Elephas maximus indicus: one gene and its partners. The protein of the gene in region 2 purifies or fractionates together with the protein of the main gene of each other region. This does not show direct contact. Links are inferred from orthologs where the notes say so. Each region holds a gene or a part of one and is shown on either strand. Other genes may lie near its edges. The genes, in order: LARP1, RC3H1, YBX3 and CNOT2.

Evidence for each region.
Region 1: the proteins of RC3H1 (region 2) and LARP1 purify together in Homo sapiens (affinity purification with mass spectrometry, with the first as the bait; 3 studies listed by BioGRID). This does not show direct contact. The link is inferred for Elephas maximus indicus from reciprocal best matches to the Homo sapiens genes RC3H1 and LARP1.
Region 3: the proteins of RC3H1 (region 2) and YBX3 purify together in Homo sapiens (affinity purification with mass spectrometry, with the first as the bait; 3 studies listed by BioGRID). This does not show direct contact. The link is inferred for Elephas maximus indicus from reciprocal best matches to the Homo sapiens genes RC3H1 and YBX3.
Region 4: the proteins of RC3H1 (region 2) and CNOT2 purify together in Homo sapiens (affinity purification with mass spectrometry, with the first as the bait; 3 studies listed by BioGRID). This does not show direct contact. The link is inferred for Elephas maximus indicus from reciprocal best matches to the Homo sapiens genes RC3H1 and CNOT2.

The regions. Positions count from the first base shown.
Region 1 is NC_064820.1:170,908,099-170,915,243, reverse strand, and holds the start of LARP1 (la-related protein 1), read right to left. Parts: upstream 3,013-7,145; 5' UTR 2,727-3,012; coding exon 2,285-2,726; intron 1-2,284. UniProt on the Homo sapiens protein: RNA-binding protein that regulates the translation of specific target mRNA species downstream of the mTORC1 complex, in function of growth signals and nutrient availability.
Region 2 is NC_064842.1:36,575,137-36,582,934, forward strand, and holds the start of RC3H1 (roquin-1), read right to left. Parts: upstream 3,009-7,798; 5' UTR 2,712-3,008; intron 1-2,711. UniProt on the Homo sapiens protein: Post-transcriptional repressor of mRNAs containing a conserved stem loop motif, called constitutive decay element (CDE), which is often located in the 3'-UTR, as in HMGXB3, ICOS, IER3, NFKBID, NFKBIZ, PPP1R10, TNF, TNFRSF4 and in many more mRNAs.
Region 3 is NC_064822.1:69,463,502-69,471,067, forward strand, and holds the start of YBX3 (Y-box-binding protein 3), read right to left. Parts: upstream 3,001-7,566; 5' UTR 2,763-3,000; coding exon 2,510-2,762; intron 1-2,509. UniProt on the Homo sapiens protein: Binds to the GM-CSF promoter. Seems to act as a repressor. Also binds to full-length mRNA and to short RNA sequences containing the consensus site 5'-UCCAUCA-3'. May have a role in translation repression.
Region 4 is NC_064822.1:131,515,347-131,523,240, reverse strand, and holds the start of CNOT2 (CCR4-NOT transcription complex subunit 2), read right to left. Parts: upstream 3,007-7,894; 5' UTR 2,747-3,006; coding exon 2,637-2,746; intron 1-2,636. UniProt on the Homo sapiens protein: Component of the CCR4-NOT complex which is one of the major cellular mRNA deadenylases and is linked to various cellular processes including bulk mRNA degradation, miRNA-mediated repression, translational repression during translational initiation and general transcription regulation.

The DNA of each region.
Region 1 (7,145 bases), on a different chromosome or scaffold from region 2:
AAAGCACCCAAGCCCTAACAACAGGCTTAAAACAGAGAGGCTACTGGATTAATTTGGAGTTAATCTGTCAAACACTACCCCAAAGGTACAAGATCAACACTCTTGCCTTAAAGTTCCAGGAAGACAAGAACACGGCAAATCTACCCCACTCAGAACTGTGCTCTGGGTACTTCAAACAAGTCTGCTCTTCCACTCAGAGGGGAAAGCAAGATGCCAACCAAGTTGTCTTCTTCCCACAATCAATAATCCCAGTGACCTATCAAGGGCCCCTGGACTTACACAAAATGCCAGCTCAGGCACTCAATACCACCTTATATCACGGCTGATTTAAAAGCCACAAGGCAGATTCACCATTAGCTAAGCAGCAGCCCGAGGTGAGAAGCCCAATTTAAACTTCTGAAGAGTGCTCTCTCTCCTGGGGATGATTATACCCCTTTGAGTTTAAGGTGGGGGGGGGGGCGCGGGGAGGGACCAAAGAGTGTCTTAAAGTTGCTCTCCCTCCCTCTGTGGGTGGATCAGGGAAGGATTTGTAAGAAAATGGAGGTTTCAGCACTGCCCTTTGCATAAGAGGGTTCTAGAAGGGGCATGGGGGAAGAGGAGGAGGGCAAAAGGAAGAGAACATGGTTTGAGGCATTATTAGTAAACCCTAAATGTCCCCTCCCCTAAATGAAGCAACCTTGAAAAAAATAAAAATTGCAACATGCCATTTTCAGGTTTGGTTATCATAATTTCCCTAAGACTAAAGGAGTGATCTTACTCCCTTTGATATGAAGGCATAAAGCTCCCCCTTCAACTTTCCCCGTTTTGATCTTCTAAACCATACTGCCTCAGCCAGCACTCTGAAACGGAGTTTTGAAAGAACACTAGGGCTAAGGCCACAGGCCATCATTCTAACTGCAAACAAGGTATTAACACTGGCCCACATCAAAAGGGCCCAGAATTAAAGAATCGAGGCCCACTGTGCCCCCCGAGTCCCAGCAAAGCGGGGACGGGAAGTGCGCCCCATTCAAGCTGAAGATCTATTCCCGGTAAAAGGAGGCCAAAAGCAAGCTCCATATTCTGCACCGCTTCTCTCCTCACGCTGACGAGGCTCTGCTGGGATTTCCTGCACACTCCTCTGAAAGGACAGTGTCCAAAAAGAAAAAAATAAAAGGGAGGTGGAAGGATAGACTCGGGGTGCGCCCGGGGCCCCAGCTTCGGGGCCCCAGCTCCGGGAGCGCCGGCCGCCGGTCACATGCCGCTCCCCGCGCGGGGAGGCACCACGTTGTCCCGGCTGCGGAGGAATGCCGGGAAGGGGGAGACGCGCACTTACACTCGCGCACACGCACACTACAGGACGCGCCGCGCCGGCGGCCCGCACCCGCCAGTCACCCGGAGCGCGACGACCCGCGCGGAACGCAGAGGCCGTGCGGCCGCAAGCAGCCCGCGAGTCGCGGGCGAGGCGCATGGCGCCCAACTGTCACCCGCCCGCCCAGCCCGGCCACTCCCTCCCCCGCCGCCGCAAGCCCCTCGTGTCGCCGCGTGCCCCTCACTCGTCTCACATTTTCCGCCAACCCCCTAAACGGATCCCCCCGCATTTGCCATCGGCTCCCTCTCAAGGCGGAAGGCCCCTGGGATCCGAGAGGGAAACTACCGAAGTCAGTGACACGTTGGGTTTCCTCGTCGCCCCATTCTCCCTGTAACTGACCCCTCAACCCGTCTCCAAATGGCGGTTCTACCGCCTACTATCATCTACTCGAAAACAAAACTTGTTAACTTTTAAATCTCGAATCCCTATACTCGGTGTGAACTCATCGCTGAGTGCTTTGCTGCCCATGACATATGCTCATTAAACATTTACAACATGGGGACTATTGCAACGCTACCAAAACGGGGAGCGTGGGGCGGAGTGAGAAGAGGGGGCTTCCCGAGTAAGGGAGGTTTAAACCAGAAACCGCCTTTTACACCAACATGCGATGGGGAAAACAGGGCCATTTTCACCGAAGCCAGCGCCCACCCTCTCCCGGTGAGGTAGGCCCGGACCACGCCGTTGCCCACTAACCGCTGCGGCCCAGGCGGTGTCCGTGGCCTCCGGGAGGCCGGGCCTCAGGCAGGAACAGGTTCCCGAGTGTGCGGCGGGAGCAGGGCACCACGACCCGAACGAGGCGTGAGACAATTCAAATAAAAAAAAACGAGGCACCACGACTCGTGGCGGACCCCCGGGCCCTGGAAACCGCTGGGGGAGGGGACGCCAATGTCCCCGGAAGAGGCCCCCGGACCCAGAATAGCAGGCTGGGAGACCCACCTGGAGGGGACTGTCCGTTCACCGTGGCCAGGGCCTGCGGCAGCGCGTTCTTAGTCCACGGGTTCACCTTGGGCGGGGGGGCCTCCACGAAGTCTCGCCGTCCGCCGCCGCCCGCGGCTCCGGTTGCTCCTCCGCCAGCGCCCGGCTCGCCGCCGCCGCCCTCCTCCCCGTCGCTGACGGCCGGGCCTTCGGCGCCTAGCGGCTGCAGCGGCCGCAGATTCTCGCGCTCCTGCTGCCCGGTGCCCTCCTTGTACGGCTTGGCGCAGGGCGGCCGGGGTCTCCGGGTGCCTCCGTCCGGCTCCCCCACTCCGACGTCGTTGGCGCCAGGCTCGCCCTTGCCCTCGGGCGGCGGCGGCAGCTTCTTCCTCACCAGCCCCCCGTGCTCTTCGGCCTGCAAGAGCTGGGCGCCCCCCGGCAACAGCGGCTCCACCTGAGTGGCCATCTGCGCGCCCGCCCCCCCGGAGAAGCCGGGCGCGCCCGAGGCTGCCTCCCCCGCCTCGAACTTGGCTCGCAGAACGCCCGCGACTCCTTCCTCCGGGGCGCTGGGCCCCAGTCCCTGCAGAAAAGGGTCGGGGTTCACGCTAGGCGCGGCCCCCCCTTCCGGTCGGATGCGGCCGCCGTAGATCCAAGGCCCGCTGGCGGGGCGGGGGGGGTGGGGGAAGGAGTGCCCCCCACTCTGCGGTCCAGGCCGCCTCGGCGCACGTCCCCCCCCCGCCCGTTCCTCGTAAGGCGCCCCCACCCCAAGCTCAGCGGGCTTCTCGTCCCGTCCCTCCCTCCCCCCCGCCCCCGGGGCGGCCCGGGCTTCCCGGCTCGGGGGCTGCAGCAATATGGACGGACGGGGGAGAGGCGCGGCGAGCCAAGCAGACCACGCGATCCGCGGCAGGCGGCGGGCGGGCGCGCGCCTCGCGGCGCGGCGGGCGAGGGGAGGGGACAACGCAGCGGGAGCGCGCCCGCCGAGGCCAGCCCTTGGCGACGGGCCGGCGGAGGCGACGGGAGCGCGCGCGCGAACGGCCTCGCGTCCCCGCCCCTCGTCCTGCCCCGCCCCTCGCCTCCAAGTCCTCCGTGCACCTCCCTGGCTGGGGTGGGGGCGCTCAGACAGGACGGGGGCGAGCACGTGCCTGATGCAATTCGGTAGAGGGGGGCGCATCCAGGGGGGGTAGGAGAGACGGGGGAGAGAACACGGAGGACTCTTAAAGGGCCAGCGCGTGAGAGAGGCCGCAGGTGGAGCACATGCGAATGGGCCACGCGGCCGGCTCGGCCTGCTCTCGTTCTTTAGGTTGGGTGTCAGATTCGGGGGAAGGAGCCATAAAAGTCACCCCCGCCTCCCAGGATGCTGGTAGAGGGTCCGCATCCTCCCAAAAGTCGCGCCTACACCGCCCCCTCTCCGCATCCCTCTATCCTGGCCTTTCCAGGCCCCGCATGGGTGACCTTGGGCAAACCGCTTTCAACTCCACCGGCTGCGCTGGGTTTCTCCCCTCCAGGCTGACCCGGACGTTGCCGGGGGACCGGGTTCGACTCCAGGCCCGGCAGGCGGGCCCTTGCCCTTGGGCGCTTCGGGTGCCTAGGATGTGGGAGTGGAATTACCAAGGTCCTCACTCCAGTCAAGCCTCTGAGTATTTGTGAGCAGGAAACAGCTTTTCTTTCTAGTGGATTGTGGTTTCTACATAGTTGCTTTGGGAGGAGTTGAACTAGTGCCGATTCGAGACTCTAGGGATTGAAATTTTGTCCTGGTCTTGCCTCTTATGAACTCTGCCAGTCAGTTTCCCCCACCGTAGGCCTCAGTTTCCCTATTGTAAAATGAAGAAATGGTCTATGACAGTGGTTTCATGCTTTAGTGTATATTCAATTCAGTTAATATTTATTCACTCCGTGCTCTGGGTGTCTCTACAGTGCTAGGAAACAGGGTTTGGTAATAAACCAGGCTAACAAGGTCCCTGGCCTCATGGAGCAATTTACATTCTAAACGTGGGGAAAGACAAAAATGATAAACAAGTTCCTGTGTAGAATTAATGCATAAACTGTAGTAATAGGCTAGAACAGATTTGTCCTTCTAGTTTGATGAGGGAACACCTCCCTGAACACAGGTTCCAAAGTGTTTAGAAAAATCAGGCATGGTCTGGAATTGAACCCAGAAATCTGTTTGTCTAACATAATACCCTTAGAACTTCTACACCAGGTGGTCCCATGCCTCACTTGGAGAAGTTGTGTCCTGTGCATTCTGAGGGTGGTCCAGGTTTAACAGAGCTGAGATCTACCTACTTAAGACATAAAAGCCAGGAATGTTGATCTCCAAAATAAGAACACATGACCTGCTGGACAGGGGAGAGGATTTATCAGAGAAGACTCTTGTAACTGCTCCACCTGGGAAGTCTCGGTTGTACATTGTAACCAGGAGTACTGGGGAGAAGTGCTGGTGGGGATAGCCAAGCTCTCCCATAACTTAGCACCTGCCTTCACTTGCTCTGTACATTTGCCTGGAGCCCCCTTTCCTGGCGTAAAAATTGTAATACATAATGCCTGATTTGTTCTCACCCTGTGGGCTTTTTTGAGGAAGCAAATGAAATGCTTCAAAAAGAGGTACCAAGGAAGGTAAGGATTAAAGGGATCACAATCTAAGCACATTCTTCAAAATTGTGTTATATCTACCCTTAATCCTTCCACCACCCACTGCTGTCAAGTCGATTCCGACTCATAGTCTACCCTTAATAAACAAAAAAAAAAAACAAACCCAGTGCCATCGAGTCGATTCCAACTCATAGCGACCCTATAGGACAGAGTAGAACTGCCCCATAGAGTTTCCAAGGAGGCCTGGTGGATTTGAACTGCCTTCCTTTTGGTTAGCAGCCGTAGCACTTAACCACTACTCCACCAGAGTTTCCCTACCCTTATTTATTGATAAATATTTCCTGAAAAAAATTATTCACTCAAAACCTCTCTGAACTTTGTAAAAAGGAACATAGTCATCGTTGTTGGCTCTTTCTTCCAACATTTCTGTAGTTGGTCATGGATGGCCCCCAAACAACTTGTAAGGGGGCCAGGTCTCTGTGTGGACAAGTAACTGGTTCATGCTACCCAGCAGTCAGAGTTGGAGCCAAACAAGCACTGCCAGACCCTGTTATGTAGAGACTGGAAGGGCACAGAGATCCATACACCCCCAGGCTTGCCCCAGAGAGGGGCCCTTAAACACCGATGCGCCATTTTACAGATGGGCAAACTGGGCCCAGAAAAGGCAAGATACCTACATGAGACTACATCTTGAATTTAGAGGCTGTTAGAGGAGGAGTCTTAATGATTGCTTAATGTCTTTGTTTTGCAGTTGAGGAGACTGAAGTTCAGAGAAATGAAGCTACTTATCCAAGCTCACACAGCTAGTCAGTGGCAGAGCCAGGCCTTACACCCAAATCTCTTGATCCTAAGTCACGGAGCTGTTCTACACAAAATGATGGAATTGGGGTTTGAATTCAGGTGATTTGATTCCTGGCCCATTATGTCATTCCATGAGTGCATTCATTTCTAAATATTAATAATGACCAAATAATTAAGAGTGTTAACAAATGGGTAAGCACTGCATTACCAGCTGACAACTTGGTTATTCAAAGACACCCATAGGTGCCTTGGAAGTAAGGCCTGGTGATCTGCTTCCAAAAGGTCAAAGCCTTGAAAACCCTATGACGTACACAGTTCTCGGAATGCAAGTGGTCGCCGTGAATCAGAATAAACTTGATGGCAACTAACGACTTATATTGAACAATTACTATATGGCATGTTCTGTGAGAAATACTTGATATTCATTATCTCATTTAATCCTCACAGTTACCTAATGTTATAAAATTGTGCCCCTCAAAAATACGTGTTGGATGAGACTAAATGGGTAGCTCCTGTCCAGAGGTGAGATGAGAAGGCAGAAAGAGATAGGAGCTGGTTGAATGGACACAGGAAATCAGGGGTGGAAAGGAGGAGTGTGCTGTTACATTACAGAGATAGCAACTAGGGTCACATAGCAATGTATGTATACATTTTTGTATGAGAAACTAACTTGAGCTGTAAACTTTCACCTAAAGCACAATTAAAAAAAAAATATGTGTTGGAATCCTGACCACTGTGCTTGTAATCCTGTTTGGGAATAGGGTTTTCTTTGTTATGTTAATAAGGCCCTATCAGTGTAGGGTGTGTCCTAAAAGTAATCACTTCTGAGTTATAAAAATAGCAGAGTAGACACAAGCAGGCAAAAAGGGGAAAGGAAAATGCCACTTGGAGATCATCAAGGAACAGAAGCTGAAAGAGGCAAAGATGTTCCCTCAGAACAACAGAAAGAGAGCCTTCCCCTAGATCCAGTGCACTGAATTTGGACTTATACCCTCTAAAACTGCCAGAAAATACATTTTTGTTCATTAAAACCACCCACTTGTGGTATTTCTATTACAGCAGCACTAAAAAACTAAGATACTTAATGAGATAGGCATTAATTATTGCAAAGTATCTTTTTTTTTTTTTTTAATCTATTGAGCCTCTACTAGGTGTCAGGCACCAGGCCAGCCCCTGGAGCTGTTATTATCTTCAGTTACAATGGAAGGCCACTGAAGTTCATAAAAGAAAGTGAGAAGGGTGCCTGGTTACAGCTAGCAGCTGAGTATCGGAGTAAGGTTTTTCCAGGGCGGTTTAACTCCCCTGGTCTTGTTCTTACCCACAACACCACACTACCTCCCTTCCCTCTACTGTCACATCCACAAGTATTTATGAAGTCATTAACTACTCAGGCCTGGGGAAGATACTAAAAAGTCGAATGCTGTCTCTCTAAAAGGTAAACTCTAACTGGGGGGACTTAAGTAATTAAGCAATATGTGACCTCAGGCCAGAAAAA
Region 2 (7,798 bases):
ACAATTATTATAAAACATAGTTCAAGGTCAAAACAAGTAACCGGTCAACATAGTAGATGCCTCAAAGTTTAATGCTGAGACATACAGTGACAGCAGCAAAGCATCTAATTTGTGTCACAAGACAGGGTTTGAGTAAGCTCTTTTACCTATTAATTATGTGGCCTTCTGGCTAATTATTTAGCTTCTCCTAGCTTCAACTTCTTCATATGTAAGTGAGCACAATACTACAATGTTAGAGCATAACTAGGAGGATTAAATGAGATGCTGCCTTTATTCAACAAATAAGCTTTGAAAAACTGTAATTTTTATTATTATGTACAAAACCCCCCTTCCAATCTCTTCAGATGAATCATACTTTAACTTTTAATACTACCAAAATGTAAATCTGGTTCTTAAGCTATGGTCCCAAAACTTCTTAGAAGCAATTTTGGAAATATTATTTGAGAAAATCTGAACTGAAGTAATCAAAATAAACACTGACACGCAAGATACGACTTTATTTTCTTTGAGGGATCACATCTTAAAAATAATTTTGACACAAAATAATTAAAAACAATTCCCTAAGAGATTTTTCAATATTAAACAGAAACAGAGAAACTGAACGTCCAATTTCAGACATAAAATCTTAACATAAGAAATCTTTGTTTTCTGGAAAATGAGGTAAATTAGTCCTTGGTATAACATTATACTTTTGCAAAACAAAGTACACTAATCACTTATAATTCACAAACTCCTAAATTACTGCAATTGTTCTAATTGGATTAAGGCCACAGACAAATTTAGTATCATCACAATGTAGACTTTACTTGTACTCTGTGCTGACCTAAGAAAAATTCAGCATGAAAAAAATAAGTCACAGACTTGAACACTTGTTAAAAAAGTATTCTTTCTGAAACACTTCCCCGAATTTTATATTAGTGAGAACCATGTGAAAGTTGTTCTTTCCTCACCACTCAAAAAAAAAAAAAAAAATCAAAACACCCACAACATTATTTATGCTAGGCATAAAATGAAAGCCATTATTGAAATTCATCCCACTCTATGTGAAATCCTAAACAATAGTTCAGCCTCTAAGTTTATTAAGCCATCTATTTACTGCCAATTCTTATGGCAGGCATATTCCAGGAACTAAAATAGGGCTGCTGTTTATAAACTTCATATAAGCTGAAAATGCTTTTAGATATGACAGATACAAACCAAATTATAAATTTACCCTAAACACGGGTGAAAGATATTAATTGGCATCCTCTCTACACAGATCTTCCTTCGTGAACCAAAGCCCTCAAATGGACTGTGCAACTGAACGTTAACTAGCGGAAAGCAATCTTCTTTGATGCATCCAACCAATTTTAACGTAAATTTCTGCACACCCGGGTAGAAACTAAAATAGAAATAACCTTAATCTCTCCCCCCCCCACTTGGAAATGTGGTAGATGCCCTAAAAAATTAAGTTTAGGGGAAACAGCAGTTAACTGTTGACATTTCAGACATCACTACTGTATAAATAAGGCAATTACAATGAAGAGCTGTGGCCTGATAAGCCTAAATATTCGAGAGAACTTAGTTTCTAGTTTTTGAAAATTATAAGAAAGTTTTGAAATCTTACAAAATGCGCTTTTTAGAAGTCAAAATTTCAAACTTAGAGAAAAAGACTGATAGGACAAATCACTGAAGACAAAATTAAAGCATAAGGCAGAGCAATAGAAGCCCGGAGCTGAAGCACTAGTCTCCTGAAGGAGAACTTCATTAGGTCCATTTTATGTTAATGTTTCCTATGCTGGACATTACTAATTCAAGACGGCTCATTTGAAAGGGGGGGGAAAAAAGTTCTATTCAAACACTACAATTTGTCTTTCCGTTGCCAGTAACTGGCTTTGTTTCCAGTTCCATGGACTATTCTGGGATGTCAACAGTTATATTACTACTCTCACCGGGGACGTGGGATTAAGGGATGTTTAGAGAGAACCGATGCTTAAGAGATGTTTTGAGAGGACCATCCCTCACCACGCCATCCCTTACCGATAATTACTGTTTACACTGTTTACCTTGTGTTTTTGTTGCTGTACTTAGATTTTTTAAAAAGACACCTGCACACACGATTTCCCCACCGCCACCAGAGAGGAAGAAGACCGTCAGTCTCGATCTCTAGGAGCTCCAGGGAAACAAACACCGCAAAACCCACTTGGCCAAGGAGGGGAGCGCTTAAGGGGTCGGGGAGGGAGCAGCCCTGAGATGGAGGGAGGCGGAGGCGGCGCCTGTTTACAGGCGCCTTGACTCCCCCCCACCCCCTCCAAGAAAAGGGGGCCCAAAAATCATTTCCTGTGCGCACTCCCTTCCCAGTCTGGGCCCTCGGAGTAACCGAAGAGTGGGGGAGCCTGTGAGCCCCCTTCCTCTCGCCAAAGCCTCTCTCGCCCTCCCCTCGGCCAGGGCGGCGCCCGCACCTCCCCACGGCCTACCCAGCGGGGCAGGCCCTCCGGGCGGCACGCGGAGGCCTGAGGCCTAAAGGACGCCGGCCACTGAGGAGACCCTCGGAGCTGGCGGAGCCCTGCGGGGCCCGGGGCCGGCCGAGCGGCCAGTGCCGCCGCCGAGCAGAGAGTGCGCGATGAGAGCCCCTTCCCCGCCGCGGCTGCCTATTGTTCCCGACCGAGGCCCGGGCTCCGGCCGCCCCGCTCCCTCCGTCGCCGCGGCCGCCCGCCCGCTTGCTCGCTCACCGCGCTGGTCCGAGCAGCAGCTCCTCTCAGCTCCGAGTCCCCGCGGCCGTCGCCACCGGCGCGGCAGCCGCAGCAGCTGCCGCTGCCACCGTCGACTCTGACTCTGCCCCAGGCCGCCGGGCCACGGCCGCCGCCGCCACCGCCAGCGTCGCCTCCGGCCCCCCACCTGCTGCTGCTGAGGCTGCTCCTGCAGCAGGGGCCATCTTGTTAGTCTGCCTCTTCTTCCTCCTCCTCCACCCCGTGGCTCGTTGTCCTCGTCCCCTTCCTCTTCCTCAGGCTCCCTCCCGCCCCGGAGACGGGCGGAGACAAGGGCGAGGCTCCTCCTCCGGGGGGCGGGGCAAGGGGCGGGGCGGGGCGAGCACGGGGAGGAAACCTCTGAGTCACCCGCCACCAACGCTGGGAAGGGAGGCGGGCGACGCTCGCTGTCGCTAACCGCAGTGCACAAACGCCGAGAGTTGAAGAACTGGTCCAGCCGTCCGCCTTGCCCTCCCCTCCACGGGCACTTTTGGGCCTAGTGGGCAAGTGCCCAGACGGCAGGGGTGGAATTGGAAGATTTTTGACGTTTTTATCGAATCCTGCACAACCTCTGCCCTTTTGACTTTCTCAGCTGTTGTCTCTCTACTTTTTTCTTTCTCACATCTTCCCCCCAATTTTTTTCTTCTTTTATTCTATCCGGGTTTTCCATCACACCAGCTTTGCCCGAGTCACCCCGCCCACAGTATTCAGTCCCCTAAAGGCGCTGAAACAGCCCAGAAGCCCAGACACTTCTCCAAAACGTCTCCTCAGGCCTCTGTGAACAGAAGGGGCTATCTGGGGAGAACAAAAAGATTTAGCACATAGAAGAGCTGTGGGATCTAAAGCTAGCCTTGTGACTATTGGAAGTTTCTTTTCAGATAAAAGATGTTATTTTAGCATCTCGATTTTTCAGGTCTTGGTCAAGAGAGCAGAGATTTTATTTTTCTGTCGTTTCTTCACTGTGTACATGGCCAAAAACAAGAAAAGTGCTATATTTAGCGAAGCTTCTGCCTTTAACCTGATAAATTCAGTCATATAACACAGATAGTGTTTTTTATATTATTTATAAAACGTGGATCACACACCTCCCTAAAACTCTTAAAAAAAAAAAACTAGGGAAGAATTCTTTTTAGTTGTTGACGCCCTCCTGCTACTCAGATTTCAGCTTCTTTTTAGAAAACCTATTGATGTCTTTCTTATTGATTGGAATTCACTCCCTTTGAAGTAGGCTAAATCTATAACCGCTTCAACCTATTAAATAGTAACCCCTGCCCTACAAACAGGCAAACTTCTAGCTACCACAGTGGAATTAGATTAGCACGTGTTTTCTTTTCTCTCTTGGTTAGCCTTTCCCTCCTCAAACAGCCAGGCCACTGCCCCCTGCTAGGAAAAACAGATTAATCTGTTTCTCCTGCTTTTTCTCCTCCTGCCTTCTTCTCACTCCTAGGGAACCTTCCACAACAGAAGGTTATAACGGCTGTTGCTAGGCAAACATGCCAACTTCCCTGTTCAGACAAGCAAGTAACCTAATTTCCATTATAAGCAACCCAGATAATGTAATTTCTTTGAACTATTAATAGTTGTACCACAGTTGGTAAGACCTCTTCAAAGTTCCCTTATAAAATATGATTTTAAGTTGAATTTATTATTTTTGGTTATTTCATCAATATTTCAATTAAAAAATAAGTTAAAAATGGAGGGGGCTTCCCAAAGCTCATTTTCATGATATAATTCAACAAAAAGATTTGGAAGAAAAAGAAGAAATGCTGCTTTGAAGGAAATATTAAGTGTTTGTAATAAAAATTTATGAGAAGGCGTATGTTTTGAACTTCCCAGTTAGGCTAGAAGTATGAGACACATTAAAGAATAATTTGTTCCTTGAGTTTGAGTCTATTTAGAAAAATATAATGTGGTTAAATGGCAAGAAAAAAAAAGATTCTGGATTTTAACAAATTAACAACTCAGCATAAAAATTTTGGCTAATGAATTAAGCTCTCCCTCCTCCCCCCATTTTGCTATTTACTTTTTTAAAAATTGTTATAGTAACATTTTGCAGGGAGTTGAGATTTGCTGAAAGTTAATATAAATAAAACTAACCCTGAAACCCGTTGCCATCAAGTTGATTCTGACTCATAGTGACTCTATTTTGGTTTTAAAACTAAATAAGACATGTTGAAAATTCAAATAGGATTTGTATACTTAAGCTTCTAAACTCTCTCTCAAAATTGTATAATTTGTTTTAACCCAGTGAAATTCGTATTAATGTAGTGAAATGAATAGTACTTGAGGAGCACCTTAAGCTGAGATGACACATTAAGAATGAGTTACAAAAGACAAAGAGCTTAACTATGTTTTACAGTCATTTCTGCTTGGAAATCACTGTTTTGTAACTCACACAATTTGAACAGTTTAGTTTTATTTCACATTTTATTATCAATCCTGTTGTGCAATGACTAGAGATTTAGACTCTGCGTCAGCCTCCACCACTGATGCACTATGAGTCATTTTATATAAAGCACACAGTAAGTATTCAATAAATGTTTACTGAAAATTCATTTTAAGGATATGTCATTATAGTCTTTACTTTCTTGATCAGTCAACTAAGGATGACAAGCCATCAAATATATTTTTGCTCTTCACATTAACCCTAAAAAAAAGATGAATGCTATTTTTTAGATCACACATGAATTAGTTAAAATCATACCTGATGAATTTTTCAATATAGTTTGTGATATGCCTGTACTACACTGTCCCTTGAAAACCCTGGTTGCATAGCAGTTAAGTGCTACAGCTGCAAACCAAAAGGTCAGCAGTTTGAATCCACCAGGTGCTTCCTGGAAACTCCATGGGACAGTTCTACTCAGTCATGTAGGGTCATTATGAGTAAGAATCGACTCGAAGGCAATGGGTATATTGTCCCTCCTTCGATTTTTTTTTTTTTTTTTAGAATAACGTGATACCTTTTTAAGCTACTACATGATTTTCAGTTGTCTAGAATATGTAATTGTCAGCCAAAAGCACCATTTACTGAACTGTTGTTAGTTGCGGTTGAGCTGATTCCAACTCATGGTGACCCCATGCATGCAGAGTAGAACTGCTCCATAGGGTTTTCATGGCTGTGTTCTTTTGGAAGAAGATCGCCAGGCCTGTCTTCTGAGGCACCTCTGGGTGGGTTTGTACTGTCAACCTTTCGGCTAAGAGTTGAGCGCTTAAATGTTTGTGCCACCCACAGACCCCTATTTCTCATATTAACCACTAAAAAAATCCACTGCCGTGGAATTGATTCCGATTCATAGCGACCCTATAGGACAGAGTAGAACTGCCCCGTAGAGTTTCCAAGGAGCACCTGGCAGATTAGAACTGCCAACCTTTTGGCTAGCAGCCGTAGCACCTAACCACTACACCATCAGGGTTTCCACATCTCATATTAGGGCTAGAAAATACTTTAGATACCAACCCACTTATTTCAATAGATAAAACTGAGACTAAGAAAACTCATTGCCATCAAGTTAATTCCAACTCATAGTGGTCCTATGGGACAGAATAGAACTGCCCCATAGAGTTTCCAAAGAGCAGCTAGTGGATTTGAACTGCCAACCCTTCTGTTAGCAGCCAAGCTGTTAAACACAGCGCCACCAAGACGCTGAGACTAAGAAAAGTTAGATAAATAACATCTACCTATAGGGTGACTACGAGTCAGAATCGACTTGATGGCAGTGAGTTTTTTTCTTAACTCCTTGTTTATAGATAAGACCCTGTTACTGAGGAGGGATTTGAGGGGGTGGGGCAAAGTTGGAAGCAAGAAATACAAAGATGAATAAGGCATGTGTCCCTGCTTGAAACAAATTTAACAATCTATAGGAGAAATACGAGAAGAAATGCCTGTAAATTACTGGAGCATAAAGTAGCTTGATGCATAGAAAATACAAAGCTTTATGAGAGTTAAAAGGAAGAGATAGTGGGAATCTTCATTCTAATGTCACAGAACCTTCCTTTTGACAGGTGGAAATACTATGATGTTAGATGTGTACTCCAAAACCAAAACCAAACCTGTTGCCGCCGAGTTGATTCCAACTCATAGCGAACCTATAGTCAGAGGCATAGGAATGCAATCAGTTCTCAATTCAGGGCAGTTTTGGGGAGAAAATTACACTCTCAAACACACACATGTACAAAATAGGGAGTGCTGAAGCTAAGGCATTTGGATTTCCTGAACTACTTTAAATAAAGTAGAGGTGGAGGGGTCAGGAGGCCTTACTAGTTTAGTCCTCTCCATCCTCCTCAGCCTTTCCTCCTGCTACACGTAGATTCTCCTTGACCTTCTACTCCTTTCCCGAGTCCATACCATTACAACCCTTCTATTACCAGTGTTGATTAAAATAAAAAAGAAACAGAGAAACGTGTCCTAAGTACTTGCATTAAGAAAATTCAAGGGAACCAATAGTGTCTGGCCTGTCGTTGTTAGATGCCATTGAGTTAATTTTTGATTCATAGTGACCCCATGTGACAGAGTAGAACTGCCTCGTAGGGTTTTCTTGGCTGTAATCTTTAAAACTAAAACTAAAATCCTTATGGAAGCAGGTTGCCAGGTCTTTCTCCCCCTTCTCCCATGGACCAGCAAGTTCAAATCATCAACCTTGGGGTTAGCAGCCAAGTGCTTAACCACTTAACCCTTTGTACCACCAGGGATCCTTATTGTCTTACTCCTCACCCAATCCCAAACCAGGCCCAAGTCAGCATCCGCCAACTAAGTTTGCCTTAGATTCAAGGTAACAATCCAAAGTAATCATGGGAGATATAGCACAAATCAGTTTTGGGATTTCTGGAGTTAGATCCCTGTGGACTTTTTTCCAAAAGAGCTAAATTAAATATTTGAGTCCTACCCGAAATTGCTTCTAAAATGGCCTGCCTTTCAAAAAGATCTCCCGCCCAACATTGAGCATGTCTGAACTTCAGCTCACCCCCTGAGACTTAGGTCTTCCCTTTAGGGAAGACATACTAGACAACTTTCAGTAAAGAGGCTCATTTTATGCACGGCTCTAACAGCATTTTAAAAATTTATCCAGTTAAAC
Region 3 (7,566 bases), on a different chromosome or scaffold from region 2:
GGGGGAGAAGATGAGAAATGATTTTCAACTCTAACTTCAATCAGGATGATTATTAAGAAAAAAAAATCCTAATTCCATAAATATTTCCGAGGGCTTCATTGGCCAAGTACATTCACTCACACTTATTGCTTCTTTAAAACCATAAATCCAACCCACATACACAAAGGGAGAGGGGCTGGGAAAGACCAGAAAGCTTCCATAATGTTCATCAGAGGAGTTCCTGGGTAGTGCAGATGGTTAACCCACTCCGCTGCTAATTGAAAGTTTAGAGGTGTGACTACGCCCAGAGGCACCTCAGAAGAAAGGCCTAGCAATCTACTTCCAAAAAATCTGCTGCTGAAAACCCTGTGAGGCACATTTCTACTGTGACACACATGGGGTTGCCATGAATTAGAATCAACTCAATAGCAATTGGTTTTAATGTTCATTAGAACGGATGTTTTGTTTTACTCATGTGAACAATTTTCTCTGACCTAAGTGATATTCACTGTAAGTGAAGGCCCATTAGTAAAAACTAGAATGGGGGAAGCCAAGAACAGACTTCCATTTCAGTCAGGATTATGCCTAGCACCTCTTAGGGATGCAAGTGTTTGCTTGACAAAGGAAAGGTGGGGGCAGAACACACTGGACAGAGACAAACTGTGCAAGGGTCATGTACAAGGTTGTCCATTTTGAGAGAGTTGGAGTTATAATGAAAAGACCAAAGATCCCAGGGCCACATCTGGTAGAGGCTTAGTACTGGTTGGTGACTGAGGAAATTAACTTTACCTGTTTTCTCCATCTTTAAAGATACCTTCATCCCCTATCTCAGAAGGGAACAAGGATCAAGTGAAAAACAGCAAAAGTTCTTTTATACATACAAAAATGAGGTGCATCATTCAGAAATATATCTTAACATTGCTTTGAACAACCCAAGGTTGTCTCTCTGTGACATTTTGCATGGAAGTATTCCAAGAAATTCTTGCTGGAAACAATACCACAATACAATATTGACTAAATGTAGGCAACTTTAACACCGCACAAAGAGGGCTATTTTGTTTTCTTAATCTACCCAGGTTACATTTAGCGTGTTGTTTGACAGTGCCTGAGTAAAAGCACTGGAAAAAATAGGCTTCTCAAGCTGGGAACATGGAATCGTGTAACACTTTCTTCACATTATTCCCTCAATTTTCTTCTTAATTTGCAGGCAAGGCTGAGAGAGATCTGACAAACACATCCCACCCAAAACCAAAACCATACCTATTGCCATGGAGTCGCTCTAATTCCGACTCATAGTGACCATAGAGGACAGAGCAGAACTACCCCATGGGTTTCCAAGGCTATGATGTTTACCGAGGAAGAAGGCGTCCATATCTTTTTCCTGAGAAGCGGCTGGTGGATTCCTAAAGCTGGCCCACCTTTCAGTCAGCGCCAGAGCGCCACCAGGGCTCCTTCGCCCACCCAAAATACTGAAAATTTCTCTGAAGCATCCTACACCCACCTGTTAACTTTCCTGCTTGAAAGAGAGTGAACTTAGTCACCACCTACATGCTTTGCAAGCCTGTTTAAGGCCTCACACAGGCATAACGAAACGGAGGAGATAAAGCTGAAATGCGCGGCAAAAACAACCACCGCCACTGAAACCCCTCCTAATCCTCTGCCCCAAACCTGACCGTCTCATCTTCCTGTTTCCCTTACTAAGTCCCAAGGTAATGCTGTTTTGAACGTTCTGCCCACACTTCCGAGGAAATTTTTTCAGCTGCTCGACCACGTGCGTCCCCACAGTACAGGAAGAGGAACACGTGTAGCGATTGGTGGACACATTTAATGGCTCTTCGCAGCAGAGGGCACAGAGAAAGGGAGGAGGGCATGGGACCAACACTCAAGTTTCCCGGGGAGGATTGCAACACCTCTTTGTCGGCATGTGGCCGACATGAGTATGGCGTCTTTCCTGTGCCCATGCGTCTTTCCTGTGCCCATGCGGGAAGGGCGTCAGGGACTGACACCTGAGCCTTCCCAGCAAAAAGTCTTTTCACTTTTCCCTCCGTCTCCTTCCAGCGCCTCACTCCTCCCCAAAGGAAGTCCTTTCCTTCCCCAGATCCCAAGCAAAGACTCCTAAATCCTAGACCCCTAAATCCCAGTCCACGTGTCTGTCCCTCCCCTGCATCCACAGGCATCCCTACCGCTGCTCTTCTTTTCTCTTCGGACCGGGACATTCTCTACTACAGGAATCTGAGACAGTATCTGCTCGGATGACAGACATTAAGCCCATAACTTACTGGCCCAAGACCACAGGGGACGCGCACAGGACGGCGAGCGGCGCAGGGCGCGGCGCTCTTACCTGGGAGCGCCTGCAGAGCGGGAGGACAGTGGCCACCGGCGCTGGGGACCCAGGGTCCCGGGGGACCCCGGATTGTCAGCCTCTACCGCCTGAGTGGGAAAGGCGGCGGGAGCTGCGCACACGTGGTTGGCAGCCAGCCGCTCGCCCGCCCTGCCGCGAGCAGTCCTTACCCTCCCCGGCCTGACTCACCGAGAACTTTTTTCTCCGCGTCTTCGCTGCCGGCGGTGGCTGAAGAGGCGGGTGCCGCGGTGCCCGCGGCTGCGGGGGCCGCGTCCCCACCGGGGTTTCCCGCGACGAGGGCGGCGGGCGCCGGGGCCGCGGCCTGGGGCGCGCCGCTGCCCGCCGGGCTCTTGGGCGCGGGGTCCTGGGGGGCCGCGGCGGCCGCCTCCGCTGGAGCCTGCGGGAGGTTGGTGGTGGTGGTGGCCTCGCCCGCCTCGCTCATGCCGCCTCCTCTGCTCTCACTCGGGCACCTCGGTGGCGGTTGGTCGGCGGTTAGTGCGGCTGGTGGTCGCGGCGGCCGGGGCTCGTTCTCCGTGAGGCCGGTGGGTATCTCGCGGCGCAGGCGGCGGCGGCCGAGGTGGGGTCTCGCGGCGGAGGCGGCTCGAGCTCTCGGGCTGCGCCCTCGCTCTTGGGCTCCTCGCTCGATCTTACTGCCCCAAAAATGGCCCCGCAGAAGTTTTTCTAGGCGGTGCACCAGGCTGGGAGGGAAGGGCGGGCGAGGGAAGAGGGTGGGGAAACTTGGCTCCTGAGTTGGGCATTGACTCTCATTAGCATTTAAAGGCGCATGGTGCCCTTCCCAACTCGCCAACCCACCCTCAGGGGCCAAGTTGGAGAGCAAAGGATAGCGAGAGTGAGTATGAAATTTATAGATGCGATCCGAATTTCCTGAGGAACAAGCTCTGCTGTCCCTTTGCTGGAGCGGAGCAAAGTTGGTCTCTCCCTCACTACACTTTGACACCTGAAACGGACTCGTAAGAGGTAAAATAGGAGTTCCAAATTACGCTGCGCTTCACTCTCAAACACTCCTGTTAAGTTCTCTACATTTATTTGTTCAGCATTCATCAAGCACCAGGAGCTATTTGTGGGAAGTGGAATAATAAAATCTATTTTGCAGTTTGTGCCTGGAAGGTTATTTGCAGATAATTTAATCCATAGCCCACAGGTGAGAAAACTCAAGTTCAGATTTTAGAGAAAGAACGTAAGTATCAGGGCTTCCACCAATTTAACATAAACAAATGATGAACTGTTAATATGTATTTAATAATGTATTTGGGGAAAAAAATTGTCAATCCGCATCTTACCTTCTCCAATTTACCCTGGTGCCTACCACCTGGTGAAAATTTAGGCAACTGCTCCCGCTTAACCTCAGGGATGAAGGTTTAGAGAAACATAACACGTAATAAACCCAGTATAAAGAGCTCACGTGGCCTGTAGAAAATGGTCTGGATTGTGCTAAACACAGGGCCGGGCCAGAGGGAGTGTGATTTGAATACAAAGACTACCTGGACTAGACTACTGGTTGGTGTTCTCTGCCGCTAGTGTTAAGACCAACCTAGGTATAAATTCTGGCGTTGCTCTGTATTAAGGGGATTAACTTGGCCAGTATTCAGTATTTCAGAGTCGGTTTCCTCCTTTATGAGATGAGGTACTGTGAAAAGCAAATGAGATTATCCAGTGTCTGGTCCAGAAAAGTTCTCAATTAGCTCTTTTTTTTTTTTTTTTTTTAATTCCCTGTTCCTCCTGAAGCATTTACGTGTTTTTCCTCAAATTTATTTGTTCATCTGGCTGCCTGCCCAACTTCAGGAGAGTAGCAGTCTAGTCTAATTCATCTTTGTATCCCCACTGGCTAGCACAGTACCTCGCAGAGAGCTAGAACAGAGTGAATAAAAAATTATCAAAATCTTCCAAACTCATTTATCTACACATTCATTATCAATCACTATGAAATTACCCTATCTTCTTACTTTCTTATTCCATCCATGAAAAATCCAAATTAAAGAAAATAATTTCTTAGAAAAAATTATCAAAATATGGAATTTTTAGTTTTTCCGTGTAATTAATCCATATTTTCCAAACTCCTTAGGATTAGATTCTTATTTTAGTTGTACTTTAATATAGAGCATGTTCTTGTTGTTAAGCACCATTGAGTTGATTCTGACTCATAGCAGCCCTATAGGACAGAGTAGAACTACCTCCTAGGGTTCCAAGGAGCAGCTGGTAGATTCAAACTGCTGAGCTCTTAACCACAGCACCACCAGGGCTCCAATGTGGAGCATAAAGTAACATAATACATATAAGAATGCTTAAAAAAAAAGAAAAGAAACTGCTGGTCTAATGCTAATAATAAGGATTATGGTCATAATTAAAATTAAATAATATGCATGATTTTTTTCTGGTAAAGACTGACTATTGGCTTTCTCATCCAACAATGTGGTTATCATTGCTATTTACCATGCAGAATTTGATTGCATGAGAAAAAAAAATAAGGGGAGTTGAATTTTTCAAATCATATCCACTAGTGAAGCATGTTTTAATATATATATTCACTCTTGGAAAATATAACTAACAGGTGAGGTCTCCAATCTCTGGAAGACCCTAAAATAATTACAGAACCATGCACCCTGAGATTTCCTAGCGTATGTGCTCGAATGACTTCCATTGTTGTTGTTAGGTGCCATCCAGTCAGTTCCGACTCATAGTGACCCTATGCACAACAGAATGAAACACTGCCTGGTTCTGCGCCATCAATGCAATTGTTGTTATGCTTGAGCCCATTGTTGCAGCCACTGTGTCAATCCACCTCACTGAGGGGCTTCCTCTTTTCTGCTGACCCTGTACTATGCCAAGCATGATGTCCTTCTCCAGGGATTGATCCCTCCTGACAACATGTCCAAAGTATGTAAGACACAGTCTCTCGCCATCCTTGCTTCTAAGGAGCATACTGGTTGTACTTCTTCCAAGACAGATTTGTTCGTTCTTTTGGCAGTCCATAGTATACTCAATATTCTTCGCCAACACCACAATTCAAAGGCGTCAATTCTTCTTTGGTCTTTCTTATTCATTGTCCAGCTTTCACATGCATACGATGCCACTGAAAATCCATGGTTGGGGTCAGGCACTCCCTAGTCTTCAAGGTGACATCTTGCTTTTCAACACTTTGTGGAGGTCCTTTGCAGCAGGTTTGCCCAATGCAATGCATCTTTTGATTTCTTGACTGCTGCTTCCATGGCTGTTGATTGTGGATCCAAGTAAAATGAAATCCTTGACAACTTCAATCTTTTCTCCATTTGTCATGATGTTGCTTCCATAACTATCATCATTTTCACACGCACACAAAAAAAGCAGTGAGCAGCTGGAAGTTCTTGATACCATGCTACATACATCTAGAGAGAATTAATTGGAACAAACATGATCTATGTTATTATAATACTCATAACTAGAGATCGGCTTGGACACAGATACACAGAATTTTGTCCATTCTTTCACTCAGCCATTAATTCATGCACTCATTAGCATATATTTATTAAATGTACCAAAGGAGCCCTGGTGGTGTAGTGTTTAAGAGCTCAACTGTTAACCCAAAGATCAATAGTTCAAATCCATCAGCCACTTCTTGGAATCCTATAAGACAGTTCTACTCTGTCCTATAGGGTCACTATGAGTCAGAGGTGACGACACCGGTGGGTTTGAATTTTTGGTTATGTGCCAAAGTGCTAGAGTAGCCAATGTTGATCAAGGTGGAACTTGCTCTAAGATATTTTTGATGTTAATGTTAGTCTTTTTTCCCCCCCCACTGTCATCATTTCTATTGAAAGAAAATATCATTTCTTAAATTTGGGATTAAGTGGAATAAAAAAGAATCATAATCTAGTTGTTGACAGCAATCATTTTTTAGCGATGACTGGTTTGGTCATGAAAACAAAAGCTACTCTGTTCCAAGTATGAGGCGGGTTAGAGCTTCCACAACTGTTTGCCTAGCTTGAGGGAAGGAAAGTCAGAGAGGCTCTACTGAAGATCTCAGACTCTAGCAGCAAAACTGATGGTTCTCAAGAATTCTCGTAAAGCCACTGGAATCACAGGGTTTCTGGGAAACTCCCAATTATTCATGCTTAGATCCAGGTTTTGTAAGACCTAAAGCTTACACAATTTAGAAAGCCTCCTTTAAGAAATAAATATAAAATCATGAGTATAAAATTGTTGGGGCCACTGCCAGAGTTTTAGGACCCATGCAAAGAGAAGGCCTGAAACTTAAACTTCATTCATTTCAAGGCAAATCCACCCCTGCTCCAGCTATCTCAGCTGGCAGCACAGATATGGATGTTCCTCAAGACGTTTATCTGGAAATAGCTTTGAACCTCCCTCCATCTGCCCATGCATCTTTCTGTAACTGACTTTGTAAAGTAATGATCTCCTCCTCTCTGTCTTCTAAATCTTGAGCAAGTGTTTCTATTTGGCAGATTGTATCCTGGGACCATACAAGGAAGGAGATTCTGAAATGTAGTTCCTGACTTTGAAGAGTCTAACGATGATGCCGAGTTGACAAGAGATTATCCAGCGTATCACCTTTTAAAGGGACTAGAGTTAAAGCAATGAAGCATTGATGTATTAGCATATCTGAAACTGTAAAACAATGAAATATTAATCTAAACCTAATTGATGATAAAGCAACACAGAAGGGAATGGTCAACTTGCAATAAAAAAGTAGAGGGATAAGAGAGTAAAGGTTTTTCAGGGTGTCTCCAGCAGTGTTCAGAGAAGAGGATACCATGATTATTATACTCTGTTTGGTATTCACTAATAATGCACTCAATACAATGTTGATCATTCACATTGGGTGCTAAGGATATCATGCAAAACCAGACAGGAATGGGTCCTGTATTCAAGGAGCTTATAATTTAGACCATCACTGTCAAATTGAAATATAATTTGAGCCCCAAATGTGACCCACATATGTGGATTTAAATTTTCTAGTAGCCACAATCTGTTTTGGAGGAAGTACAGCCGGAATGCTCCTTAGAAGTGAGGATGGCAAGACTTCATCTCACATGCTTTGGACACGTTATCGGGAGGGATCAGTCCCTGGAGAAGGATATTATGTTTGGTAAAGTAGGTCAGTGAAAAAGAGGAAGACCCTCAACAAGATGGATTGACACAGTGGCTGCAACAATGGGCTCAAGCATAACAACAATCACGAGGATGGTGCAGGACTGGGCAGTGTTTCCTTTTGTTGTACATACGGCTGCTAT
Region 4 (7,894 bases), on a different chromosome or scaffold from region 2:
CTTGTTCATGGATACAGAGACTTATTAAGATGTCAATTCTTCCCAATTTGACCTATAGATGAAATGCAATCCCAATCAAAACCACAGCAAGTTATTGTGCAGATAATGACAAAATGGTTCTAAAGTTTATATGGAAAGGCAAAAGATCAAGAAAAACCAACATAAGAAGAAGAACGGAGCTGGAGGATTGACACCATCAGACTTCAAAAATTACTATAAAGCTATAGTGATGAAGACACTGGTGAAGGAATAAACATACAAATCAGTGGAACAGAATAGAGAGCTCTGAAATAGACTCATGCAAATATAGTCAACTGATCTTTGCCAAAAAAGCAGGGGCAGTACAATAAAGAGTCTTTTGAACAAATGATGCTGGAACAACTGGACATCTACGTGCAAAAAAGTGAATCTAGATCACAGACCTAAATGTAAAATATGAAACTATGAAATTTCTATAAGATAGCATAGGAGAAAATCTAAGTGATCTTGAATTTAGCAATGAGTTTTTAGATACAATACCAAAAGCACAATGCAAGAAAAAAAGAAGCTAAATTGGACTTCATTAAAATTAAAAACTTCTGCTCTGCAAAAGACTGCTAAGAGAATGAAAAGGTAAGTCACAGACTGGGAGAAAATGTTGGCAAAACACGTATCTGATTAAGGACTTGTATTCAAGATATGCAAAGAAGTCTTAAAACTGAACATTAAGAAAACAAACAAGCCAATTAGAAAGTGAGCAAAAGATGTGGACACCTCACCAAGGAAGATACACAGATGGCAAAAAAGCATAGAAAAAGTATTCAAATCATGTATCATTAAGGAATTGTACTTTAAAATAAAAATGTGATGCCACTACATCTATTTAAAAAAGCAACAAAAGTAGATGCAGTCCACTCGATTCCAATTCATGGTGATTCTATAGGACAGAGTAGAACTTCCCCATACGGTTTCAAGGCTGTAATCCTTAAAGCAGCAAACTGCCACATTTTTCTCCTGTGGAGCTGCTGGAGGGTTCAATGTGCCAAACTTTCAGTTAGCAGCTGAGCACGTTAACCACTGCACCACCCCAAAACTGACAATACCAAATGCTGGAGAGAATGTGAAGCAGCAGAAACTCCCATTTATCAATGGTGGGAATGCAAGTTGGCAGTCACTTTGAAAGACAGTTTGGGTAGTTTCTTATAATGCTAAACACAGACTTAACATATGATCCAGCAATCATGCTCTTAGGTATTTTTCCAAATAAACGGAAAACTTAAGTCCACACAAAACTGCACAAGAATGTTTATAGCAGCTTTACTATAATCGAATGGTAAAACAAACTATGGTACACCCACACAACGGAGTATTATTCAGCAACAAAAAGAAATGAGCTAACCTGGTCAGGAAAAAGGAATCTTAAATGCTTAATGCTAAGTGAAACAAGCCAGTATGAAAAGCTACATACTGTAAAATTCCAACTATATGACATTCTAAAAAAGGCAAAAATATACAGAGACAATAAAAAGATCAGTGGATGCCTCCAATTCAGAAAGTGGTAGCGGATGGGGAGAGTGAATAGGTGGAGCACAGGGAATTTCTGGGGCAGTGAAATTATTCTGTATAATACTGTAATGGTGGATACATAGCATTATGCATTTGTCAAAACCCACAGAACTGTTCAACACAAAGAGTGAACCTTAATGTAAACTATGGGTTTTAATAATGTTGTTGTTGTTGATAAGTGCCCTCAAGTCAGTTCTGACTCATAATGACCACATGTACAACAGAATGAAACACTGTCTGATCCTGCACCAGCCTCATAATCTTTGCTATGCTTGAGCGCACTGTTGCAGCCACTGAGTCAATCCATCTCCTTGAGGGTCTTCCTCTTTTTTTCTGACCTCTGCTTTATCAAGCATGATGTCCTTTCTCCAGGGACTGGTTCCTCCTGATAGTATGTCCAAAGTACGTGAGACGAAGTCTCGCCAACCTGACTTCTAAGGAGCATTCTGGTTGTACTTCCTCCAAAACAGATTGTTCTTCTGGTAGTCCATGGTATATATTCAATCATCTTTGCCAGCACCATAATTTAAAGGAATCAATTCTTCTTCAGTCTTCCTTATTCATTGTCCATCTTTCACGTGCACATGAGGCAACCGAAAATACAATGGCTTGGGTCAGTCACACCTCAGTCCTCAAAGTGACATCTTTGCTTTTGAACACTTTAAAGAGGTCTTTTGCAGCAGATCTGCCCACTGCAACGCATAGTTTGATTTCTTGACTTCTGCTTCCTGGGACAATGATTGTGGATCCAAGTAAAACGAAATCCTTGAGAACTTGAAAGGAAATCTTTGAGGATTCAATCTTTTCTCTGTTTATCATGATCTTGCCTATTGGTCCAGTTGTGAGGATTTTTGTTTTCTTTATGTTGACATGTAATCCATACTGAAGGCTGCAGTCTTGGATCTTCACCAGTTAGTGTTTTGAGTCCTCTTCGTTTTCGGCAAGCAAGGTTGCGTCATCCGCATATCGCAGGTTAATGACTCTTCCTCCAATCCTGATACAGCATTCTTTGTATAGTCCATATTCTGGGATTATTTGCTCAGCATAGAGATTACATAAGTATGATAAAAGGATACAACCCTCATACGCACCTTTCCTGATTTAAAACCACGCAGAGCATCCCCTGTTCTGTTTGAATGAGTGCCTCTTGGTCTACGTACAGGTTCCTCATGAGCACAATTAAGTGTTCTGGAATTCCCATTCTTCATAATGTTATCCACAATTCTTTATGATCCACACAGTCAAATGCCTTTGCATAATGAATAAAACATAGATAATGTCTTATTTAATAATAATGTATCAATATTGGTTATCACCTGCAACAAATACAGCCCACCAACGCAGATGTGAATAACAGCAAAAATGGTAGGTAAGGTAAGAAGAAGTATACAGGAACTCTACCTTCAATTCCATTTTTCTGTAAACAAACCACTCTAAAAAACAGTCTATTAATTAAAAAACAAAACACACCATTTGAAGAATATCATAGTTAAAGGAAAAGGAAGATTATCAACCAAATGGATTCCAAAGGAGAGGTGAGAAAATGAGACACTAAATCTAAATTTATATTTTTTAAAAAGACCAACAAGAATCTAATTAAAAGAAATACATAAACCAAATGTTAATTAATGGAAAGAAACAAACTTATATGTCTCTAAGTTTCTCTAAATCAGAGCCTAATAAAAATGTTGCATGCAATAAACAGTACTTGGATTAATGAATATTAACTGAACCCCAACTTCTTTCAGAAAATAATTAAAAAAAAGAATTTCTCAAAACAGGAAATCAATATATTTTGAGTAAAATTTCTAGAAAATACTTTATTGGAGAGGGGAAATACTTATTAAAGTTTATTCTTTTAAATTTCATGTCACCAAATAAAATATGCTAATGGAACAAGAATCAGGAAGTCTGAGTTGAAGTATTAGCTTGATCAATTTCTCCTTTCTAGTCTTAGTTTCCTAATGTGTAAAATAAGGTGGTTGATCCAAATGAATTTAGAAAACACATCCAACTCCAAAATTGTCTATTTTCAATGTTCGGTGTCAAGGCAATGCTCACAGGAAAGTGGACAATTACAGATGTCCTTTTCTATGTTGTCTTTTTTTCTTCCCACTGCACTATTCAATAGTATACAAAAAATACCCCAACATTTTACGGTTGCCCTCGTGGCACAGTGGTTAAGAGCTCAGCTGCTAACCAAAACTTCTGCAGTGTGAATTCACCAGTTGCTCCTTCGAAACCCTATGCGGCAGTTCTTCTCTGTCTTATAGGGTCACTATGAGTTGGAACCGACCTGACAGCAACTCGTTTGGTTTTGGTTTAATGGTATCTGAAAGGAGCCCCAGTGGCACAGTGATTAAGTACTCTGCTGCTAAACCAAAAGATCAACGGCTTGCTCCATGGGAGAAAGATATGGCAGCCTGCTTTTGTAAAGATTACACCTCGGAAACCCTAGTTCTACTGTCTTACAGGTCAGTATGAGTTGGAATCAACTTGACATCAATGGGTTTTCTTTTAACGCTATCTGAAATAAGTAAAACATGGTAGTCATTACCATACTCAACTTTGAGCTAAAACGTGAGGAATTTGGTCAAGTTATGATTGTTGAACCAGCTGGACGAGTTTTCTTTTTCTGAAATAAACTCCGAAAAAAAAGCAAACCCACTGCCATCAAGTCAATTCTGACTCATAGTGACCCTATAGGACAGAGTAGAACTACACCATAGGGTTTCCAAGGAGTGCCTGCTGGATTCGAACTGCTGACCTTTGGGTTAGCAGCCGAGCTTTCGACCACTGCGTCACCATTCTTTTTTGATATAGAGAATTTTATATACCAGGCTGGCTATTAATTAGAACAGACTACCAGATGTGGCCAATTTCAATGGAACTCTAGAGTAAGCTGAAGTAAACACACTGTGCTCTTACCCTTAAAATTCAAAGGTTTTTTAGATTCCCTAACTATGTCAATCAACCTTTTCTGATTAGTAAATGAATCACAGCCACAAAAACACTTCCTTGCCCTTATGAACTAATTTCTGGTTTGATAACACAGACGAATGTTTTCACAATGCTCTAAGTTATGAACCTAAGCAATGTCACTGAATTGTACATATAAAAATGCTGAATAGGCAAATATTTGTTTACATGTATTTTTACCAGAATAAAATGATTTAAAAAATGTTCTGAGTTAATCACTCCTTGGTACATATGAGAAGTGTCTGCCAGTTTGTCATACTGTGGGGGCTGGCATGTTGCTGTGACTCTGGAAGCTATGCCACTAGTATTCAAATACCAGCAGGGTCACCCATGGCAGACAGGTTTCAGGCGAGCTTCCAGACTAAGGTTAGAAAGAAAGGCCTGGCGGTCTACTTCTGAAAAGGTTTAGCCAGTGAAAACCTTATGAATAGCAGTGGAACACTGTCTGATATACTGCTGGAAGATGTGCCCCTCAGGTTGGAAGGCACTCAAAGTATGACTGGGGAAGAGCTGCCTCCTCAAAGTAGAGTTGACCTTAATGATGTGGATGGAGCCAAGCTTTCAGGATCTTCATTTGCTGATGTGGCACGACTCAAATTGAGAAGAAAACAGCTGCAAACATCCATTAATAATTAGAATGTGGAATGTACAAAGTATGGATCTAGGAAAACTGGAAGTCATCAAAAATGAAATGGAATGAATAAACACTGATATCCTAGCCAATGGTCAACTGAAATGGACTGGTGTTGGCCATTTTTAATCAGATGATCATACGGTCTCCTGTGCTTGGAACCACAACTTGAAGAGGAATGGCATTGCATTCATCATCAAAGTGAACATTTCAAGCAGCTGGTATTTAAAAAAGGCCCAAAGTTTGTTAACCAGGGAAAAGACAGTCTCTTTAGCAAATGGTGCTGGCATAACTGGATATCCATCTGCAAAAAAACGAAATAAGACCCATACCCCACACCATGCACAAAACCTAACTCAAAATGGATCACAGACCTAAATATAAAATCTAAAACGATAGAAATCATGGAAGAAAAATAGGGCAACACTAGGAGCCCTAATACATGGCATAAAACAGAATACAAAACATTAGTAACAATGCACAAACACCAGAAGAGAAACTAGATAAGTGGGAGCTCCTAAAAATCAAACACTTAACGTTTATCCAAAGACTTCACCAAAAGAGTAAAAAGACAACCTATAGCCTGGGAAATTTTTGGCTATGACAAATCTGATCAGTGTCTAATGTCTAACATCTACAAGATACTGCAAAACCTCAACAACAAAGACAAATAACCCAATTAAAAAATGGGCAAAGGATATGAACAGGAACTTCACCAAAGAAGATACCGAGGTGGCTAAGAGATACATGAGGAAATGCTCACAATCATTAGCCATTCCAAACAAAAAAACCAAGCTCAGTGCCATCGAGTCGATTCCGACTCATAGCGACCCTATAGGACAGAGAACTGCCCCATAGAGTTTCCAAGGAGCGCCTGGCAGATTCAAACTGCTGACCCTTTGGTTAGCAGCTGTAGCACTTAACCACTATGCTACCAGGGTGTCCCATTAGCCATTAGAGAAATGCAAATCAAAACTACAATGAGATTCCATCTCACCCCAATAAGGCTAGCATTAATGTAAAAAACACAAAATAATATATGTTGGAGAGGCTGTGGAGAGGCTGGAACACTTACACACGATGGTGGGAATGTAAAATGGTACAACCATGTTGGAAATCAATGTGGTGCTTCCTTAAAAAGCCAGAAACAGAAATAACATAAGATCCAGCAATCCCATGCCTTGGAATATATCCTAGAGAAGTAAGAGCCATCACATCAATAGAAACATGCACACCCATGTTCACTGCAACACTGTTCACAGTAGCAAAAAGATGGAAACAATGTAGGTGCCCATTAACGGGTAAATGGATAAACAAATTATGGTATATTCACACAATGGAATACTATGCAATGATAAAGAACAACAGTGAATCCTCGAAACATCTCAAAACATACATGAATCTGGAAGACATTTTGCTGACTAAAATTAGTCACAAAAGGAACAAATACTGTATGAAGCCACTATTATAAGAACTCAAGAAAAGGTTTAAACAGTAACACATTCTTTGATCATTATGAGGGTGGGGAGGGAGGGAGAGGGGTAATCACTAACTAGACAGTACACAAGAATTATTTTTGGTGAAGGGAAGGACAACACACAATACAGGGGAAGTCAGCACAACCACATTACACCAAAAGCTAGTAAGTTTCTTGATTACGATCAAACACTTCAAGGGACAGAGTAGCAGGGGTGAACCATGCAGCTGGGGACCATGGTTTCAGGGGACATTTAGGCCAACTGGCATAACAAAATTTATTAAGAAAATATTCTGCATCTCACTTTGGTGAGTGGCATCTGGGGTCTAAAAAGGTAGTGAGCCAAGCAAGCAGCCATCTAAGATTCAACGACTGGTCTCAACCCACCTGGAGCAAAGGAGAATGAAGAACGTCAAAGACATAAGGAAAATATGAGCCCAAGAGACAGAAAGGGTCACATAAACCAGAGACTCCATCAGCCTGAGACCAGAAGAACTAGACAGTGCCGGCTACAAGCGATGACTGCCGTGACAGGGAACACAACAGCAAGTCTCTGAAGGAGCAGGAGAAAAGTGCAGTGCGGAACTCAAATTCTAGTAAAAAGACCAGACTTGATGGTCTGACTGAGACTAGAGGGACCCTAGAAGACATGGCCCCCAGACCTTCCGGTAGCCCAGAACTAAAACCACTCCCGAAGCCAACTCTTCAGACAAAGATTAGACTGGACTATAAGATATAAAATGATATGGTGAAGAGTGTGCTTCTTGGCTCAAGTAGATACATGAGACTAAATAGGCAGCTCCTGTCCTGAGGCAAGATGAGATGGCAGAAGGGGACACAGGAAATACAGGGTGGAGAGGAGGAATGTGCTATGACATTGCAGGGAGAGCAACTAGGGTCACATAAAAATGTGTGTATATGTTTTTGTATGAGAAACTGACTTGAATCATAAACTATCACTTAAAGCACACACACACACAAAAAGAACATTTCAAGATCTATCCTGAAGTACAACGCTGTTAGTGACAGGATAATATCCATACACCTACAAGAAAAGACCAGTTAATATGACTATTTTTCAAATTTAGGCACCAACCACTGAGGCCAAAGATGAAGAAATTGAAGATTTTTACCAACATCTGCAGCCTGAAATTGATCGAACACACAATCAGGATGTATTGATAATTACTGGTGATTGGAATGCGAAAGTTAGAACCAAAGCAGACAGACTGGTAGCTGGAAAATACGGCCTTGGTGATAGA